Linked DNA regions of Daphnia pulex. The protein of the gene in region 2 interacts with the protein of the main gene of each other region in a pairwise test. Links are inferred from orthologs where the notes say so. Each region holds a gene or a part of one and is shown on either strand. Other genes may lie near its edges.

Evidence for each region.
Region 1: the proteins of carbohydrate-responsive element-binding protein-like (region 2) and max-like protein X interact in binary tests that used the Caenorhabditis elegans proteins (3 or more experiments, as listed by UniProt). The link is inferred for Daphnia pulex from reciprocal best matches to the Caenorhabditis elegans genes mml-1 and mxl-2.

Annotation. Positions count from the first base shown.
Region 1 is NC_060026.1:14,951,779-14,961,321, forward strand, and holds max-like protein X, read left to right. Parts: upstream 1-4,618; 5' UTR 4,619-4,735; coding exon 4,736-4,763; intron 4,764-4,826; coding exon 4,827-4,973; intron 4,974-5,043; coding exon 5,044-5,255; intron 5,256-5,321; coding exon 5,322-5,489; intron 5,490-5,556; coding exon 5,557-5,673; intron 5,674-5,735; coding exon 5,736-5,792; 3' UTR 5,793-6,027; downstream 6,028-9,543. Other genes in the region: uncharacterized protein LOC124204377, read right to left, coding at 43-190, 259-573, 649-735, 802-1,021; 3-hydroxyisobutyrate dehydrogenase, mitochondrial-like, read right to left, coding at 2,966-3,284, 3,350-3,560, 3,624-3,745, 3,808-3,986, 4,057-4,148, 4,325-4,400; pyruvate dehydrogenase (acetyl-transferring) kinase, mitochondrial-like, read left to right, coding at 6,888-6,999, 7,411-7,621, 7,702-7,886, 7,959-8,120, 8,177-8,355, 8,419-8,533, 8,598-8,887. UniProt on the Caenorhabditis elegans protein: Transcription factor. Binds to the E box motif 5'-CACGTG-3', probably in a heterodimeric complex with mml-1.
Region 2 is NC_060023.1:7,797,585-7,806,786, forward strand, and holds carbohydrate-responsive element-binding protein-like, read right to left. Parts: upstream 8,983-9,202; 5' UTR 8,671-8,982; coding exon 8,298-8,670; intron 8,196-8,297; coding exon 8,036-8,195; intron 7,972-8,035; coding exon 7,865-7,971; intron 7,803-7,864; coding exon 7,729-7,802; intron 7,666-7,728; coding exon 7,540-7,665; intron 7,473-7,539; coding exon 7,295-7,472; intron 7,223-7,294; coding exon 7,127-7,222; intron 7,050-7,126; coding exon 6,625-7,049; intron 6,570-6,624; coding exon 6,378-6,569; intron 6,307-6,377; coding exon 5,864-6,306; intron 5,804-5,863; coding exon 5,584-5,803; intron 5,524-5,583; coding exon 5,340-5,523; intron 5,279-5,339; coding exon 5,179-5,278; intron 5,114-5,178; coding exon 4,990-5,113; intron 4,899-4,989; coding exon 4,769-4,898; intron 4,711-4,768; coding exon 4,571-4,710; 3' UTR 3,902-4,570; downstream 1-3,901. Other genes in the region: bromodomain-containing protein 1-like, read left to right, coding at 1-667, 734-876, 965-1,157; CCAAT/enhancer-binding protein beta-like, read left to right, coding at 2,716-2,886, 2,968-3,513. UniProt on the Caenorhabditis elegans protein: Transcription factor that binds to the E box motif 5'-CACGTG-3', probably in a heterodimeric complex with mxl-2.

The DNA.
Region 1 (9,543 bases), on a different chromosome or scaffold from region 2:
GTCAAAATTTAAAAAAAAATTTAAAATTTAAACCGAACTGACCGCAATTGGCAGATGGGTCCGCGCTGCTCCGCGGTCGCCGGATCTAATTTAACAGTGACAACGCAGGAAGAATCAGGATAGATGGTAGTGGGCGATCGCCAGTAGGTGTTGTTGTATTGGACAGTACCACTGCAAGTAGTCAACGTGTCTGTAAATGTATCCAATCAATGTCAAACTGAAACCCACTAAAATATTTGTTTAAAAAAACAATTTTACTTGTGCAACAAACACCTCCGTTTGGGCAAGCTCCACTAGAGATTCCTCTTCTCATATTGCAATTGATTAGTGAAGCGCAATAGCCCAAGTCCCCAGATGCTGCGGTGCAACTGGTAAAGTCTCCTTGGATGAAGCTTCTCATTTGGGACAAACTGTTTTGCGGGTTCCCACCACTGAGAAGTGAGAGTCCGGCCAAAGATATTCCGATTGCTCCGCCGATACCGGTAATTGTAGTCACAAAATCGACGATTACATCGGTAAGTGCGATGCTGTCGGTATCGGACAGCTGTTTGCTTTGAGATTTATTTCCTAAAACTTGAATTGCAATTATTTATTTTAACATCTTTTATTGGGTCCGAAACCGCAAAATATTCAAGGGCAATGAAATACCTTTTAGATTGTTGTTGAGTTTCCATCGATTGCTGATTTTCAGTGGCGATCTCCCGCTGATTACGACCGAATTGTTTGTAACAAATTCTTTTCCACAAAAGATCATCAAGGTTATTGATCGACAGAAAAATTTATGTTATAAGATTTATTTACCTATCAGTGATTTAATGTTCACAGGTACTAGACGGTTGTTTGAAATCAGTTGCCTTGGATAGTAGAGGAATTTGTGATGCCGGAACACGTTTGGCTGTAGAGAATTCGCGTTGAATCGATTGTAATCATCAAGAATGTGATTGTAATCGACGGTTTGCGACGGTATAGGAAACACGAAGATGAAAATCATCCAATTTCGAATAAAGACTGACAATGTCATTTCCTCTAGCGCTAGCAATTATACGAGGGTCTCCTCCTATCAATGCTCAATCACCGTCCGATAGCAGGTCCCTTTTATATTCTCATTCGATTTGATTATTTCAATCTTTCCAATGAACCAGTTTTCTATCGCTCCGCCCTTTACAGATGCTAAAAATAAATCGGTGATGAAAGCGACGGTAAATCTAGTGAGGATGTTATCAGCTAAGCAATTAAAAAGATACACTATAGCTTTTTTATTTCTTTTCTTGAAGATTAATATTCACGGGGTCGTCGTCGGGAATAATAATAATAGACACCGGCATCTGATGTGTCCGTTTGCTCCCATTTGCCGCTGGAAATCGACTCAAAATAAAACTAATAACTGGTGGGGCAATTTGCATTCAGTTTTGGCATTTGAAGCTATAAGAAGCAATTGACCACCCGACCTTACAAGCTGTGAACGTGACTAATTTAAATGAAATGCTATTTCTGTATCAGCAATAAAGGTATTTGCAGCGATTTCAATATGCAAATTAAATCGTTCGAGCACCTTCCGATGAACTCATTTGACTCACTATAGCGGAAACGGAATCTTGAATCGGGTTTTGAGCGGCCTTGCTTCAAATTGGCGCGCCGTAAAAAGGTTAAAAGTTCACAATCAAAATTATTATTTGACTGGCGTATAAGATTACGGATTTGCATTTAACGTCATTAAAAGCTTACAAGGATTCCCCGATAAAACAAGCACATTCGAAAACCCCTTCCTATTTTATTTGACTCGTAGGGTACTTTTACAGTGTATAACAATTTAGGGCCACTTTTATTTTGCACTGACTGGACGAAAACAGGGCTACACAAATTGTTTTTTTATTAACAAGCAATCCACCACTCAACCGCACCAAATCCATGGACCCCACTTTTTTTTCCCATTCCGCTATGGGACCAAGAAATCTGAAATAATTCAGGCATATCCAGTTTTTTACTCCGGATTCACCTGTTTTTGCAGAATTTAAATATTCCCTGCCGTTCGGGAGATATTTAATGTTAAAGTTTGAGTTTTTTCAAATTTTAACAATTTTAGGGGGTCTTTGGCATCGCTTTTTGGGTAAATGCTAACCTTTAAAAACAAACAAATTCAACCAAAAGTTTGCTCGGCCATCCCTTAATACCAATCCAAAAGGAATTTACATTCCGAATTAGATTGGTCGAGTTATTCCCAATCTAGTAAAGTGTAATTTTGACCAGTTTCCCACCCAGCCTAGTCGCCATTATTTATGACTCTCCCTCGCGTTCCTAGCGGATGACAGACGAAGCATACGAGTTCTCTACACCTCGGGCTTCATATTGCCGGCCACTAGACTATATGAAAAGGCCTTCAGTATGTCCCCCGGTCTAAAGTGAAGGCCAGGAAAGCGTAGCTTCGTCTGTCATCCGCTAGGAACGTGAGGGAGAGTAATAAAAAATGGCGACTAGGCTGGGTGGGAAACTGGTCAAAATTACACTTTACTAGATTGGGAATAACTCGACCAATCTAATTCGGAATGTAAATTCCTTTTGGATTGGTATTAAGGGATGGCCGAGCAAACTTTTGGTTAAATTTGTTTGTTTTTAAAGGTTAGCATTTACCCAAAAAGCGATGCCAAAGACCCCCTAAAATTGTTAAAATTTGAAAAACTCAAACTTTAACATTAAATATCTCCCGAACGGCAGGGAATATTTAAATTCTGCAAAAACAGGTGAATCCGGAGTGAAAAACTGGATATGCTTGAATTATTTCAGATTTCTTGGTCCCATAGCGGAATGGGAAAAAAAGTGGGGTCCATGGATTTGGTGCGGTTGAGTGGTGGATTGCTTGTTAAATCATTCACCATTTAATTGCGAATCACAAGCTACGGTGGTAAACTGGGTCACGCAGAGCTATACAACATATAGATTCAACCTCCTCTTTCTAAGTATATCGCTACTAGTTACTATTTTCTGATTTCTGGAGAAATTGGTAGACGGAAGAAAAGTCTTTCTTGGCGTAGCCTCGAACAGTCATCAATCGATAGAGTTGGTGGGCAAGTGATCCCAGCGGGATCGCGGAATTGGAACGAGTCGCTGAATTCTGGGCGAGGCCAAGATCTTTCGTCATTAGGGCCGTTCCGAATCCCCCTTCATAGTTGTTTGAGGCTGGGACGTTTGGCAAGACACCAGGTACTGGATTGTAAATTTCACTGGACCAGGAGCGACCGGAACTTGTGTTGATAATACTGCTCAACAATTTAGGATCCAGTCCCAATCTTAATCAATAGGAAAATAGACGATGGTTATTGTAAGTTTTAATGATTCCCAAGTCGGTAATTACCTAACGCCAAGATTCATGGCTTCAGCTGTTCCAACCATATTGATTGCCAACAACATGTTATTGCAAATTTTGGCGGCTTGGCCCGATCCTACTGGACCGCAGTACACAATGTTTTTACCAACATGCTCTAGTATCGCTCTGGCATTAGGAAACTGTTCTTCAGGTCCTCCAACCATGAAAGTCAAGGTTCCAGCTTTAGCAGCCATCACACCTGCAAATAGCCATGAAAATGATGAATCACAATGATTTCATATTTAAAGTAAAGTTATTATACCTCCAGAAACTGGGGCATCAATGAAAATCATTCCCTTCTTTTCAGCTAGAGCTGCCATTTCTTTAGAGACACTGGGATCTATGGTACTGCTGTCAATCAGTAAAGATCCTGGCTTTGCCGTCCTTTATACATGATTCAGAGTTATTTTAAGAAGTCCTGCAGTATTTATCTGTTTAAATATTACTGGAAGACACCATTTTCTCCCGCATATGCTTCTTGTACATGGCCGCTGTTTGGCAACATGGTAATGATGGTATCTGATTTTTCTGCCACTTCGGCAGGGTTATGGCCAACTGATGCTCCTGCATCTTGTAGTTTTGACATAGCCTCTGGATACACATCAAATACAGTTACAGAGTTGCCCTGAAATGAAAAACAACAACAATGAGGAATGTGGAATTAATGAAACTACATAGTACAACAATAGCAATACCTTGTTTAATAAATTCAAGGCCATAGGTCCGCCCATGTTCCCGAGTCCAATAAAGCCAACCCGTTTGCCCGATCCATGATGGACTGTTGAACCTATTATTATTTCAAAAATACATTATTCGCAACACCATTCCTTAAAAATGTAACCAAATATACGCACTAGCAACTACATGGTAATAAAAACCCTTTAAGATTCGATAGCTAAGTAGGCTTAATGTATTTTTATCGAGTACTAAAGTGCAGAGGAAATGATGGAAAATAAAACTTACACGAAAATGAACGGTGTTTCCCGATTACTTTGATTAATACTGCGGCATTCCGGGTTACATTCGTTAACGCAGCCATCGTCTTCTGCTTGTTTTTAGTGAATGGAATTTGTATGGGGAAGTTGGTCGTCTGTTTACACCATTTTCCAGCGCCCTCTATACTGGCATACAAATTTAGAAAAACGTAATCTCATTACATCTCTCTTATTTCAGAAAAGAAAACCAAGAAATTCTCTGGAGGAATTACTCAAAATTATTGAAAAAAGTTTTTTTTGCGTAATTTTGGGCTTACGTGCCGATATCTAATTTACCGACAGGTGGCGTGTGACGGATAGCAACAAAGATTGTTGTTCGAAGATAAACATATACGAGTGTTAACCTTCACAGAGAGATCTTGTTTGCTTTACATTTACAATGGACCACAGAAGCCATATGACATTAAGTATATATTTCATATAAATAGCCTACCAAATTTATGTGCATTGACGTTTTACGCATTTTGTAGTTGGTGCCGAAAGTCGGCTGAGTTTCGACGGAAAAACAGAACCTTCAAGTCCAATAGATAAAATTGGAATTGGTGACAAGACCCCGTTTTCCCGTTGTAGTAGTACCAGCAGCATTCACACTCTTTCTTCCTCTGCACAAAATACAGGTAGTTAACCAATTGATGGAATAGTTCGAATCACTTCTAAAGTTGTGTTTTTTTGTTTATAATTTTATAGATGATGAAGACAGTGATTGTAAAAGCACAAAAAGTTACAAGGAGAGAAGACGAGAGGCCCATACTCAGGCAGAGCAAAAGAGACGGGATGCTATCAAGAAAGGTTACAGCTCTCTGCAGGATCTAGTACCAACATGTCAGCAACAAGATCCAATCAGTGGATATAAACTGAGTAAAGCAACAGTTCTTCAACGATCAATTGATTACATTCAGGTAAATTAGCCGCATGCATTCGACATCCTACCTTGAATAATGGTGTGGTTGCATGGGGTTTTATAGTTCCTCCAGCAACAGAAAAAGAAGCAGGAAGAAGAACTATCAGCCTTAAGAAAAGAGGTAATTGGTCTCCAGATCATGAAAAGTAACTATGACCAAATTGTGAAGGCAAACCAGACTCAGGCTGGACAATCTGAGAATAGAGTACCTGATGAAATGAAATTCCAATTGGTAATTCATTTTTAAAAAATCAGTCAGACTTTATGTTTGTTACTTTTGTTTTATCTCTGTTTTACAGTTCCAAACTATAATGGAAAATCTTTTCCTGACATTTGATTCCATGGTCTCTGCTGCAAGCTTTGTTGACCTGTCGAGTAATGTCTTTTCCTGGGTTGAGGAGCATTGCAAACCACAGGTTCAAGTGTGCATTGGTCATATTTCTATTACACTTCTGATAATATTTTGTGTGGGCTGCAGAGTTTGAAAAACTTGGCAGTGAGTGTACTTCAGACGCTCGTGACTGGGTCCAATTGAGTCCAGCCGATTAGGATAAACACCATGAACCAGCTTGTCAATATGCCACACAACTTCCGATCATTATTGCCGTAATCCCAGCACTTTGCGCCAGAGATCGCTGGGAAAATATTACACGTCCTCAAGGGGCTTATGCGAGAAACCGCCAAAGAAATTTCTAAACTCAACCGATTGCAATGTTTTAGTCTGTGTAAAGTTGTGTTATTATCCGGAATAGAATTTATATCGTACTTTCGATTGCGATGTATGATATTTTTCATCGTTAAACCACCGTGTTCATTATATAATATTTAAACGTTTTCGTACGCCATCTACGCCATCTAGTAATAGATTTCGAAAAATGTGCCTTCAGGCTATTTTGATCCAAGTGAAAATGAAAATAGAGGTCGCTTACTCGACACAATTTCGTCTGCATTCACCAGCGTAGCACCGAGTGAGTTGAGAGTGTCTGTTGTTTTTAGTTGCACTTTGGACGGTCAAATGTGCGAGATGCAAAGTTGTTTTTCCACCTAATAAAGTCTAGTCTCTACCTGTATACAATCTACTCGACTGGATACTTCACCTTTCAATCTTTGGGTGTTTGTGCAGTTTGATTTTTTCAAAAGCTCTCTCGATCGACAATTGCGTCTACCGTCAACAAAGGTTGGTGAAATCGTTTAGAATCGTTTTGAGTTTCTTTTCGAAAGTTTTGCTGTACACATTCTTTGACTTTTTCTATTGTGTTTAATGTTGTAAGCCAAGTTGAACCACCTGATTTCATCTGCCATCGCATAGCCCCACAAAGACAACAATTTGATATACCAGAGGCTAAATTAATTGCTCTAGGCCTGACGTCACGTACACCCTCACGTACACCCTCCTCAACCACCCCAATTAATTTTCTTTTTGTGTGTAACACGGCTTCCTTTAGTTTGGGTTGATGACGTCGTCAATTCAAAAAATATAAACCTAAATTCTTTCAAGTACTAGGAATCTATGTGGGGGGTTCGAGATAATATGTCCGTGTCATGTTTTGTTGGCATTTCGACGTCGAATAAATCTAAAGAATGTCTTTTTAATTTTAAATTTTCTTTAGACATTATCTGCTTATAAGAAATGAGGCTCACGGCCCTCACTGCCAGCAACGTCCGTAACCTGTCGCGGATGCTGGATCATTATTCCCATTTCAATCCGTCTCCATTGTCCGTCAAGCAGTTTATCGATTTCGGTAAGCCACAAGGAAAAAATAATATAACTTTTTATCAATGTTCTATTTGCTAGTCTCCAAAAATATTTGGACTCGTATACGGACTATCTAGAAGGTCAAACGGCTGACTTGTTTGTTTGTTTGTTTACCCGAGTTGAAAGGTTTCTTATATTGGGAAAGCTTTGTAAGTTGTTTTGAATCAAGTCGAGAAATATCTAGCCGGTAAACAACAACAGGTTTTTAAATAAAACCGGGTTATGTGTGTAGTATATTTGCCATTTTTGTTTTGGTTTTTCTGGACGTGAGCCCAACACGTCATCGTGACTTGCACACACGTACGGGAGTCCCAAAACAAAAATAAAAAGCTCTACATTTAGTATTTTTGTGTGTCTGGACTTATATTTTGTTGGTCCCTTTCATTTGAAAATGTAGGTCGCAGCGCAAATGAAGTCCGATCGTTTGAGTTTCTGCGCAAAGAGATACCCGTTCGCCTTGCCAACATTATGCAAGAGATCAATCTCTTGCCACAGAATCTACTGAGAATGCCCTCCGTTCATTTGGTCCACAACTGGTATGTCAAGAGTTTCAAAGAAATTCTCGAGTTTGAAGATATCAAAAGCGTCGACAACAAAAAACTTAACGAGTTGGTGACAATCTCTCTTGATTTGTTATAAAAATATTTCATTTAATTTTTTTTCTTTATCTGTTCAAACAAAAATTTAGATTCTGCGAGGCTTTGATCAAGATTAGAAATCGTCACGCCGATGTCGTGCCGACCATGGCCAAAGGTGTGATTGAATTGCGTGAATCGCATCCGGTCGACCAGACGATTGAACATCGAATTCATTATTTTCTCGATCGTTTCTACATGTCCAGGATCGGCATCCGCATGCTCATCAATCAACACAGTAAAGACAAAAAATATTTCACAAAAATTTCCAGTTTGAATTTAAATTTAAATTTTTGACTTTCAATTGCAGCGCTGCTGTTTGGTGGACAAATGAACAACACCCGACATATCGGCTGCATCGATCCCAATTGCGACGTCCAGTCTGTGGTGCGCGATGCCTATGAAAACGCCAAATTCCTTTGCGATCAGTATTACCTGGCCTCTCCCGATTTGGAAGTCAAAGAACATAATAGTATAAAAACACCTTTTAACATATTTTCAGCAATTGAATTGAATTATTCTTTGCAGACTTGGAGCCTGGTATTCCCATTCAGATCGTTTATGTACCGTCACACCTCTACCACACATTGTTTGAATTGTTCAAGAACGCCATGAGAGCCGTGGTTGAACATCACGGTGCTGCCGCTCGAGATTATCCACCAGTTCAGGTGCTGGTCATTCGAGGGAAAGAAGATGTTACCATTAAGGTTAAAATTTAGATTCATTCCCATCAAGAGAAATGGAATGTTTAATTTTTTGTTTTTGGATAGGTCTCTGATAGAGGTGGAGGTGTCACTCGATCAGACATGAAGAACCTCTTCCATTACATGTACTCCACCGCTCCGCAACCGTCGCTGTCGGATACGGATTCCGCTCCCCTGGCCGGTAAATTTCAATTGACAGAATTGACAATTTTTGATATTTGACCTTTGGAATTTTTTGGGATCAGGTTACGGTTACGGTTTGCCGCTGTCACGTTTGTATGCTCGCTATCTGCTGGGCGATCTGACTCTGACGTCATGCGAGGGCTATGGCACGGATGCCTACGTCTTTCTCAAGGCCATCAGCGAGGAGGCCAACGAAATGTTGCCCGTTTTCAATCACAGCTCCACCCGTCAGTACAGCTCACCTTTGCCCACTCGCGATTGGGTCAGCTTCGGTGGCGGCTCGGCCTCATCGCCCGCCAGAGTCCGTCACCTGTCCACCAAGGTCCCAGGCCCATTCGATTCAATAGTATAGTGCAATTCGGGGCCAACACACACAGCTAAAATTACCCAATTACCTATCAATACCAGAATTTTGGTAAAATAATACCAAATATTACAACAAAAAATGAGCTAAGATTTACTATCATAATGGCCAGCATGTTTTAAAATAGATTTAATTTGAAAAGAAAAATTATAATATCTACCTAAACACCATTGAAACGGTAGGAGAAAATGATTTAGAGAATCCACCGGGGTTTTTATTCTTTTAAATGTTTTATTCATTTTAATTTTTTGTAGAATTATCAATCTCATTTGAATGTTGAAATGGTTTTTAGTGGCCATTTATATTAAGATTTTCATTTGTCATCAAACGATATTGCTCGGCGAAAGGGTAAATGATCAGTTAATCTTGTGATGGACCCCCCAGTGTTTTGTTATTATCACGGAGAAGAGTCTTGCCACACTTTCATATCCGCATTGTCGTTGTCAAGTAAACCACAAGGATTAATCGCGTACAACTTTACATTGGCAACCCACATACTCCTTTGGGTCCCTTTTTTTATTTTTTGAATTAAAAAACAAAAGATGATGGTTTGGAAGGGGGGTCTGGTTAATTTGAGAAGAAATGTATAGTTTTAAATGTAATTCCCCAATATTCTATTGAAGTTAAGAAATTCCACTTCACAC
Region 2 (9,202 bases):
TCCAGTTCCAGTAACTCCAGTAAAAATCAGCTCCGTGAATCCGCAACAGCTGACTGGGTCTCCATCGGGTGTCAATAGACGAACAGCGGTGCTTTTCACCAAGAAAGCAGCTGCCGCAGCGGCTTTCAAGAAGCCTGAACCATCCGGAAGCACTTCGCCACCTAGACGGGCAGGTGGAAGGCCGCGAAAAGTTTCAGAAAATAGTACTTCTCAACCAGGACCCAGTGGCACCAACACCAGTGCATCCACCAATTTATTTGTGGCAGCTGCAGTTGCAGCTACGGATCTAAACAAAAGGAAGAAGCAAAAGCATCCAGAAAGTGACAAGCTATTTGCTTCGGTTCAGCAGCCTGGAGCTATTCACCTTCCCAACATTGAGAGTGAAAGTTTCAAAGTTTATCGCACCAACAGATTAGACGACGAAGAGGATTCACATCGAGGATCGAGTGAATCGTCTGGGAGTGAAGGGAGCAGCAGTGGAAGCAGTAGCAGTAGTGATTCGGATTCTGGCGATGAATCTGATCGCCAGTCAAGTGACGATAGTTCAGCATCTCCTCCTCGACATCAGCATAGTTCTACTTCACTTTTGCCTTGTAATTTGATTCCACTACAGCCACTTGATCTCGTTTGGGCGAAGTGTCGAGGTTATCCCTGGTATCCAGCTCTGGTAAAAACGTATTTCTAGGATTTGGTACTGAATTAGTTCTAATTCGAGGTCTACATTTTCCATTAGATTGTCGATCCTTCCTGGCCCAGGAGTGGTTATGTACATAATGGAGTCCCCATCGCCATACCACCCGAAGAAGTTCTCTTAATGGGAGCTGGAGTTCAACCACCAGCCTTTCTGGTTTTATTCTTCGATGCCAAACGGACTTGGTTAGTATTCGTTAGTTTTATTTGCCACAGCTTAATTCTTTACACCAGACGCAATTGTGATAATGGCTGAATTTGTTGTTGATTACAGGCAATGGTTGCCCAGAGATAAGTTGGAGCCACTTGGAGTGGATCCTGATCGTGATAAAGCGAAACTGATTGAATCCAAGAAGCAGACGGAACGTAAGGCCGTCAAGAAAGCTTTCGAAGAGGCTATTTTGCACCAGTGTAGAGTGGCTGGGCAAAGCAGTGCCCTATCCGAAGATTCCGATTCGAGTCACTGAACGTTTATTTTCTTATTTTTAACCTTCATAAAATTCTTTGTTTGATAACCCATCTCGCTTTGCTCCATTTCATGCGAGTATTTCAAACACGTGTGTTCTCATTGATGCAAACTCATTTTTTTAAATAAAAAAAACGAAAGATTGAAATGAAATCGAATAATCAAATCTCCCTATTTTAAATTTTAAAAATATAAAATTGACACTATTAGAAAGTCCCAGTGGAATATGGTAATTTTTCTTGATTCGAACGGGTTATTGTTTCAGAACTTGCCCGGACTTGCTGTATTTTCGGTTTTCCCAAGCAGTTTGAACCGGTTTTGATCAACCAAGTCGACATGCAAGCATATAGCAACAGATATCAAACCACCAACAAAAAAATGTCGATGTTTTTTAGTAGGACGTCGTAGTCGTTATTATCTTTCAACCGAATTCAGCTGCGCATATTATAACAAAGCGACGACGGTTAAAATGACTTATGAGGATTAGACTTTATATTATTTTGTTTGCTTTCGGTCTGCTTTTTTCTGTTGAACGATAACATTCCGATGCGAATGACTCCGCCCATTTCCGCCGAAACTGGTTTGTGATTGGCCGACGTCATCCTGCCTGCGCATGTGCGTAGATTTTCTAGAAACCTGCGTTCTATGACGTCAGCGAGTTCTCGTTTGACGTCACGAAACCCGGACGGGAAAATATAAAAAAGAAACCACAAATCGGTCAACTCTTGTTTTTTTTTTGTGTGTTTGTTCTCAACACGTGAATCACCCTTTTCCACAGAAAACAAATTAAAAAACAACCACGACATAGGTTATTTTTCCAAGATAGACTTGATGCCTTCATGCACATGTGCGCACGATTCTACTTGAGACGGATCCTTGACAAAATTTCGATAATATTTCGTTAATTAAAAAGGAAACGAGGAGACGAAATCAGGGTCGTCGGTTGATATGCACGCGTTATCGGCAAGCATTAGTCACGTTGACGTCCAGAATCGGGGCTTATCGCTTGCACACGAAGTGGATGACATTACATTGACATCACTACTTTTTGTGCGTGTGTATTTATTCAAATGACCTCCACGGCCAGCAGAGAAAATTTCACTTTGCCCCTCGTTGATTTGCATTTTTGCTGACGAGTCAGTGTTTTTTCCAGCATTCCGCCTCAAACTAGTTCCAACTGGGAGTAGTAGAAGTATGGTTGACTTTGGTTTTCCCCAGCTTTTTTATTTTCTTATTAGGGATTTCCCCGGAGCAGTGACGTCACTATACGCCGTACCAACCGCCGCCATGCCGAGTCATTCGACGATTGCACCACGTCCGGAGGGGCGGAGCCAAATTGCGTTTCCAGTCCCCGGGCCCTCGGTATAATAGCGCAGTGCGTTTCATGATTTCATCATTCTTTCTAGCGACTCCGCCAAGAGCAGACACGTACACACAAGTCGAGGTGATCAGTGCAAATCCAAAGATCATTCTCGAACGCACAAGTTGTTGTTACACAGTGAAAGTTTAGCCCCCGTCTGTATACCAATTCACCCAACAAACCAAAAGCCGTTCGCGGTATGTCTTTTTTTGATTCCGAATTCTTCGACATCACCACCAGCGGGAAACTTGAGGGTCACCTATTGGACTACGATCATCCGCCAATGAGTGGCGAAATCATCCCATTTGCCGATCATTACGATTATTATCCAGAAACTCTGGAGGTTGCGGAAACTTCTATGGATCTCGAGGTATTGTCGCATAGAATCACCAACAATTATTTCACGAACGCCATACTTATCGTGTCATTTGTTTTATTTTCCGTGTTGAAGCAGGCAATGATAGACTCAAACATCGGAAGCGTCGCCGATTACTTATCGCATTCCGGCTCTTATCAGCCGCAGCCGATGGTGAAACGCGAGATAGCTCATTTGCAAGAGGATGAAGACAGCCGTTGTCTACCTAGCACTTTGACCGACGCCAGTGACTACACGTCGGCAATGATGCCCAGCCCTTACGGCACTGCCGTTTCCAGCCCTGCCGGACGTTCGACCACGAGCAGCTCGGCCTCGACAAGTCGTCGGTTCAAATCGGGCGGCAAGAACGTCAGCAAAGATAGCGACGAATACAAACGACGAAGGACTCTCAACAACATCGCCGTGAAGAAATCCCGCGAGAAGGCCAAAGCCGAGTCACGCATAGTGGCTCAACGTGTCACGGTCCTGTCGGCCGATAAGGAGAGACTTGAGAGACGTGTAGAGCAGCTGTCAAAAGAGATCCAGTTTCTGCACGGGCTCTTCTCCAAATTCAACGACATTCCCGATCCAATTAAAGTGCAAGTCACCAGCGCCTTTGCCCGTCTCCAGAGCCACAGATAACCCCCCACAGCCCACGCACTCCTTTTGTATTCCCTCAAATCGCAATCAAACAAAACACTTAACTATTATAATAATTTAAAACAAAGAAAAAGATTCACCAATGTGTGCCACGAAACCTTTATATTTCCATCGTTGTATATAGTATCTTATACAAAGTTGTCTTAATATTGTTAATGTAATACTTTTCTTGTGGATTGTGTTCAACATTTGACAAATTTTTTACATGATTGAATCATCTCAGATAGAAGTTACATTCAACTATGCTCTTGACCGATTTATTTTCAAATAAAAACGACAAAACAACCCACGTGCGATCTACGGATTCAGCGAAATGTTTTGTACATCATAGAATTCATGCATCCTTTGTACTTCCCAAGATGCAAAAGAGTAACAATAAAACAAACATGTATTTCAATTGTTTTTTCCAAGTTCGATTGTGTGTGGGGGAGGGGGGAGCAGAGTAAATATGAAACACTTAATAGATGGGGAAGTATTTTGTTGTTTTTCAAACCAGGCAGGTGGGAAAAAACTGTAATAAAAATAAATCAGGCTGTTCTAACATATCGTATTTAAAGAGTTAGCAAAAAAAAAATATTTTTTTGAGCCGCCTGTGATACAGAAGTTAGGGGCAAAACGGTAGGACAAAACCCAAAATAACAGCCACCCAAAAATCAATTTACAATCTACCATGACAAATACAAACTATTCCGTCTTTTTTTAAATTATTTCTTTCGTTTTTTTTTTCTTAGCCTTTTTTCCACTATGACTCTGGATTACATCTCTCACTCTTAAAAACTAAACTAAAAATCTAGGTCATAAACCTTCACTGAATTCACTATTAGATAAAATTGCGAACTGAAAAAAAATATCTCCATCTGTCTATATAATAATAGGGTTATGCTACATCTGCTACATAATGACTACATCGATTATGAACATAGGCCGCATGAAACTTGAAATTCCTCGCAATTTATCGAGGAATGAAAGTTGTTGAAAATTTGTGGGATCGACAGAGGGGAGAAAAAATTGTAGATTTGACGGTGGTGAATGGGGAAGATTATGTCGTTGACGGAAGGTTGTTGGGCGTTGTAGTTCTATCCGGATTGCAGGCAGCTTGGGTGGCTTCCGCCGGTAATCTAGACGGATTTGCTATAATGTCGGTTGTTTTACTCAAGTTCCGGAGCGAATTGAATACCACTAGAAACAAAACATAAATAATTATGACGAAATGGTAAAACAAAACAAAAATGTTTACCAGGACGAAGAGCTATCAGAGAACAATACTGGTCAACCCAATTTAAAACACTTTGCCAGAGATCTTCGTACGTAGCAGCGGAAAGGGCCGTACTATAGGACTCGAGGAGTGGTTGGATCAATATCGAAAACTGGAAAATATACAAGATAGTTCAAACATCGTAATTCGATTTTTTAAATTGAATTATTTAGCTTTTTAGTCAATAAAAAAAAAATAATTACAATCCAGAATTTCCAGTTCTGCAGAGTTCGAACTCGGACCCATTCGTCAAACATTTCTCGCATCCGATTATTACGCTGGCGTGAAACGGGAGCACCATTAGCAGGTAGGAGTGCTTGGCAGCCGCTAGTCAAACCAAATCATAACGGGTTAATAAAAACTGCATGTACTCACAATTTCCTAAATCAAACCTGATGGCCGCATTAAGCGTTTCGATATTTTGTTTCAACTGATCCATTTCTTCTTGCTGCTGCTGTCTCTCCTGGCGCAGCTGCCGGATGTATTCCGCACCTGATGGAGGTCGAATATGATATCTCCTGTATATACTGTATATATTGATATTATGATATACCGCGATGGAGCATGGCGGCTTTGCTAACGTCACTAGCTTTGCCATGGCTAGACGCAGCTGGACCACTGCCAGATCCACCCGTTGATCCACCGCCTGGTAATAGCGACTGCAAAGTATCGAAACCGTTTTTGATATTGCAGCGACGCTTCTGTTCGGCGTTGATGTGGCACACTCGTCGGTGCTCCTATTGACAGATAGCTACAGTTAGTCAACCAATGTGTTGAAATATTTACAATTTGCATACCCTGTACTGAGTGCGTTCGCCATCGCTACTTCTGCTGCGTGAAGCAGTTTGGTTTGCTGCTGGCTCTTCCACCATGGTCACATTCGAGGACGGCTCCTGCTTGTAGGCACGACCATCATTGGAATACTCAAGGTTTATAGTTGTGGGCAACAAGGTTAACGGTTTTTCCAATTTAGTTGTCGTTGAGTCAGTGTTCTGAAGTGGGAAAATGATGGGAATCCTGCAAAACAAAACTAATTGTAGGGAATGGACGATGAATGAGATCAATTACTGAGCGTACCGCGAAGCTGACGGGTCGGCAGTTAAAACTAAAGTGGTTGATGGTGCTCCTATTTGATTAGAGTTCGTCAACAGCTGAGCCAGCAAAGTGCTGTTATCGGGAAGAATGGTGCGAGGTATAACAGTAGCCGGGGTCGAAACTGCTGACGTAGGCACAGGCATGATAGGTTGCAAGTCAGAACTGGAGCGCAGACGTCCAAGACCGCGACTGCTACGTGATAAATTGCCCTCTTGAGTGCCTGCTGAGTTGCTCAATAAGCGAGCTGGGCTACTACTGCTGCATGAATTTCCACTGGCTTTGCTACGTTGAACTCGACTCGATCCGATCGCCGGCTGGCTGGCACTAAGCGCAGTAGTGGTCACATGTGCCGAGATGGCTGTAGGGCCGTTTCCAGCAGTGTTGGCTCCCGACCCACTTCTTGATCGACTGCGTTGTTTTCCTTGCTGATAAATATCAAATAAGACATCTCAACAGTGAACTGGGATAAGAATCAGAAATAGATATCGATCCCTACAAACTGTGCTGTTGGTACGACGAATCCATGCTCGCTACCTCCGCTATTCTGTCGCTGGAAAGTCCCAGCATGAGAATTCGTACTATCGAATCCTCCAGAGGCGATGAATCCGTCCGGCGAATGAACTTGATGGGACTGCAGCTGGTGAGACGTTCCTGATGAAACATTAACGTTGGACTCGAATCCCGAATTCTACCCAAGAAAATTTAATTTAGTTTTAGTCGAACAAGTTGCAAAACGAGTCAACCTGTGACGACGACGGTGACACGGCAAGTTTTGTGGGGTGGCCGAAAACGGGTTCGTTGGGGTGCGGCTGCTGTTGAAGTTGTTCCTGTGATTGCAGATGATACTGCTGCTGCTGCTGCTGTGGCCGCGAATGTTGCTGACTTGTCAAAGATCGATGAGCGTTGGCGAACTGTGGATTTGATAAATAAGACGGATTGGACTGATCCATCGGCATATAATTGAGCAAAGTCTGCGGCGAGGATGATGTGACGACTATCGTTGCGGCACTGACTGGAGTGGTAGAAGTTGAGGCACAATAAGGCGAATGGTCATGCGATTGGAAATCGTTGCGGCGTTGAGTAAGTTGATCAGATGCTCGTCCAGCTATACTGTCCTCCACAGCGACAATCTCTTCTTCAACTGGCGGCAAACGTCCAGAAAGCAATTCTACATGGTTGAAAGACAGTTTAAAATTTTGTTGATGAAATATTAATATCGTGACAGGTGGGGGAAAAAATACTAACCGTGTAACGGTTCCAAAGTATCCATGAAATCGTCTAAATTGGGTTGCAACTGGATAAGTCCAGGTTGAATAAAATCAGCCAGACCAGCTCCTTTCGCTGAAAAAGAAAAAAAGTGAATACAAATTTATTCTACACCATACAATATTTTAAAAATTTCAGATTACATACCGATTTCTCTGGGATTGGGGAAGGGAAAAGGCTGATTAGATGATAAGCTTGAAAAGAGCGTATCAGAAAAGTCCATGAAGAGGTCATCATCCAATGCGAGGGAACCCGTCCCTGAGTTAAAACTGCCGTTGCTCCGCGGAGCAAACCAATCTAAGTGATCGAATTCCCCGCACATGGTCTGGTGGGATAAAATTGGATTAAAGCTTTCTCACCAACTATCCATGAATAAATTGTATAAGACTCACGATATCGTTGAGATCTTTGGATGCACGACCCATCATTTGATTTTTGAAAAAGATTCGCCACTTTTTGTATTCAGCGGTGACGGTCGCTAATCGACGCTTCCAATATTTACCCTCAAGTACGACGGCCTATATAGGAATAACCAATTATTTATTAAACAGTGAAATTTTAAATGTGAAAGGAAATATTACCTCAGGTTTGTTGTGTTGGTCCACTTCTAGAGGGGAAGCAAACTGACACACAGCTGTGTTTCTTCTTTCAATAACTGTTGAAAAGGAAAGTTTTTATTTAATAATAATTTCAAATGCCAAGTATAGAAAGTCGTACACTGCATGTGCCAGCAACGCCAAATCAAGTTGTTGAGACGAATTTTATCTTTCCACTGTAGGCGTAATCCCTTAAAGTTTTTCCAGCGTGGGGACGTCAGCTTTGAACTGTAAGTGTGTTTTACTGATTAATATAAACTCATGTTACATAACTCCTTGAAAATGACCAAACCTATAAGCCAGGGTCATGCATTGAAACAGCTTAGTGAGACTTTGGTCTATGGTAACTGCAGGAACCATCAAATCCTCTGCTGTCTGGATTGGAAGATCCTCACAAGAGAATGTTGATCCTATATTCTTCTGAATCCAATTTCCAGTATCTGCTGTGAAACCTAAAAATATACAACAAATTTATTCATTTGGAAAATAACTACAAAAAATGTATTGATTTTTTTAAATATATTTTTTTTAACCAAAATGTTGTGAATTTTTACCTGATGAAATGGAGTCAGGTTTTTTGGGCCAGATTGTGCTTGCCACTGAACATGATCCTTGATTGCTGCAAGATCCGGCAAGGTCACCAGCTGCATTAATCGTGGCTACTGCACCTGATCCAACTAGAACAGCAGAATCTTCAGCATCTTCAGGCACAGGGATGGCTAACTCATCGTCATCATCATCCCTTCCTTCAGCTTCAAAATCTGAGACCATGAAGTGTCCCGAATGGATGATCTCTTTAGATTTTTTCCTGAGTTGTTGTGGTTGGCCATCCTGGCACATTTGTTGCTGCTGTCCGGCATGTAACGGGGATGCTTGTCTTGATTGATTCTGAGAGCTCTGCGATGTTGGAGAGTTACCGCCTGTCATTTTCCCGATTTTGTTCGTCACTACAGGAACTGAGGAGACCTTTAGAGATGATCACAACAACAATAATTTTCTTTCTCCAAGTCAAAGTCCACTTTTGTTGACACAAAGGTCTACCAATAAAGGCATGCTAAATATTTTCCAGATCCATCGAACTGGACTGGAGGCCATTAGTCTCTGATCAGCGAAGTTATGATAAAGCACTGAAAAGTTCGTCGTTAACTTTTGTTAACTGCTGAAAAGCAATGCACTTCGCGCGCCATCTTGTATCGGTAACATTTTCTTTCAAGGAATGGGCGCAAGGAAACAAAAACCCTACGCTACAGGACTTATCCACAAGGAAAGGAACATTCACCGACAAGAATAGATAAATAGAATGCACCAATGGAGTTGCTTACAGATCCCTACTAGATTGCTGATAAAAAGCACGCCTTGTTGAATATTAGTTATAAACAATTGCACCACCCCAAACCACAAAAAAACGAAGTATATCGAAGATTGGATTTTAAACATTGGAATGATAAAAATATCAATC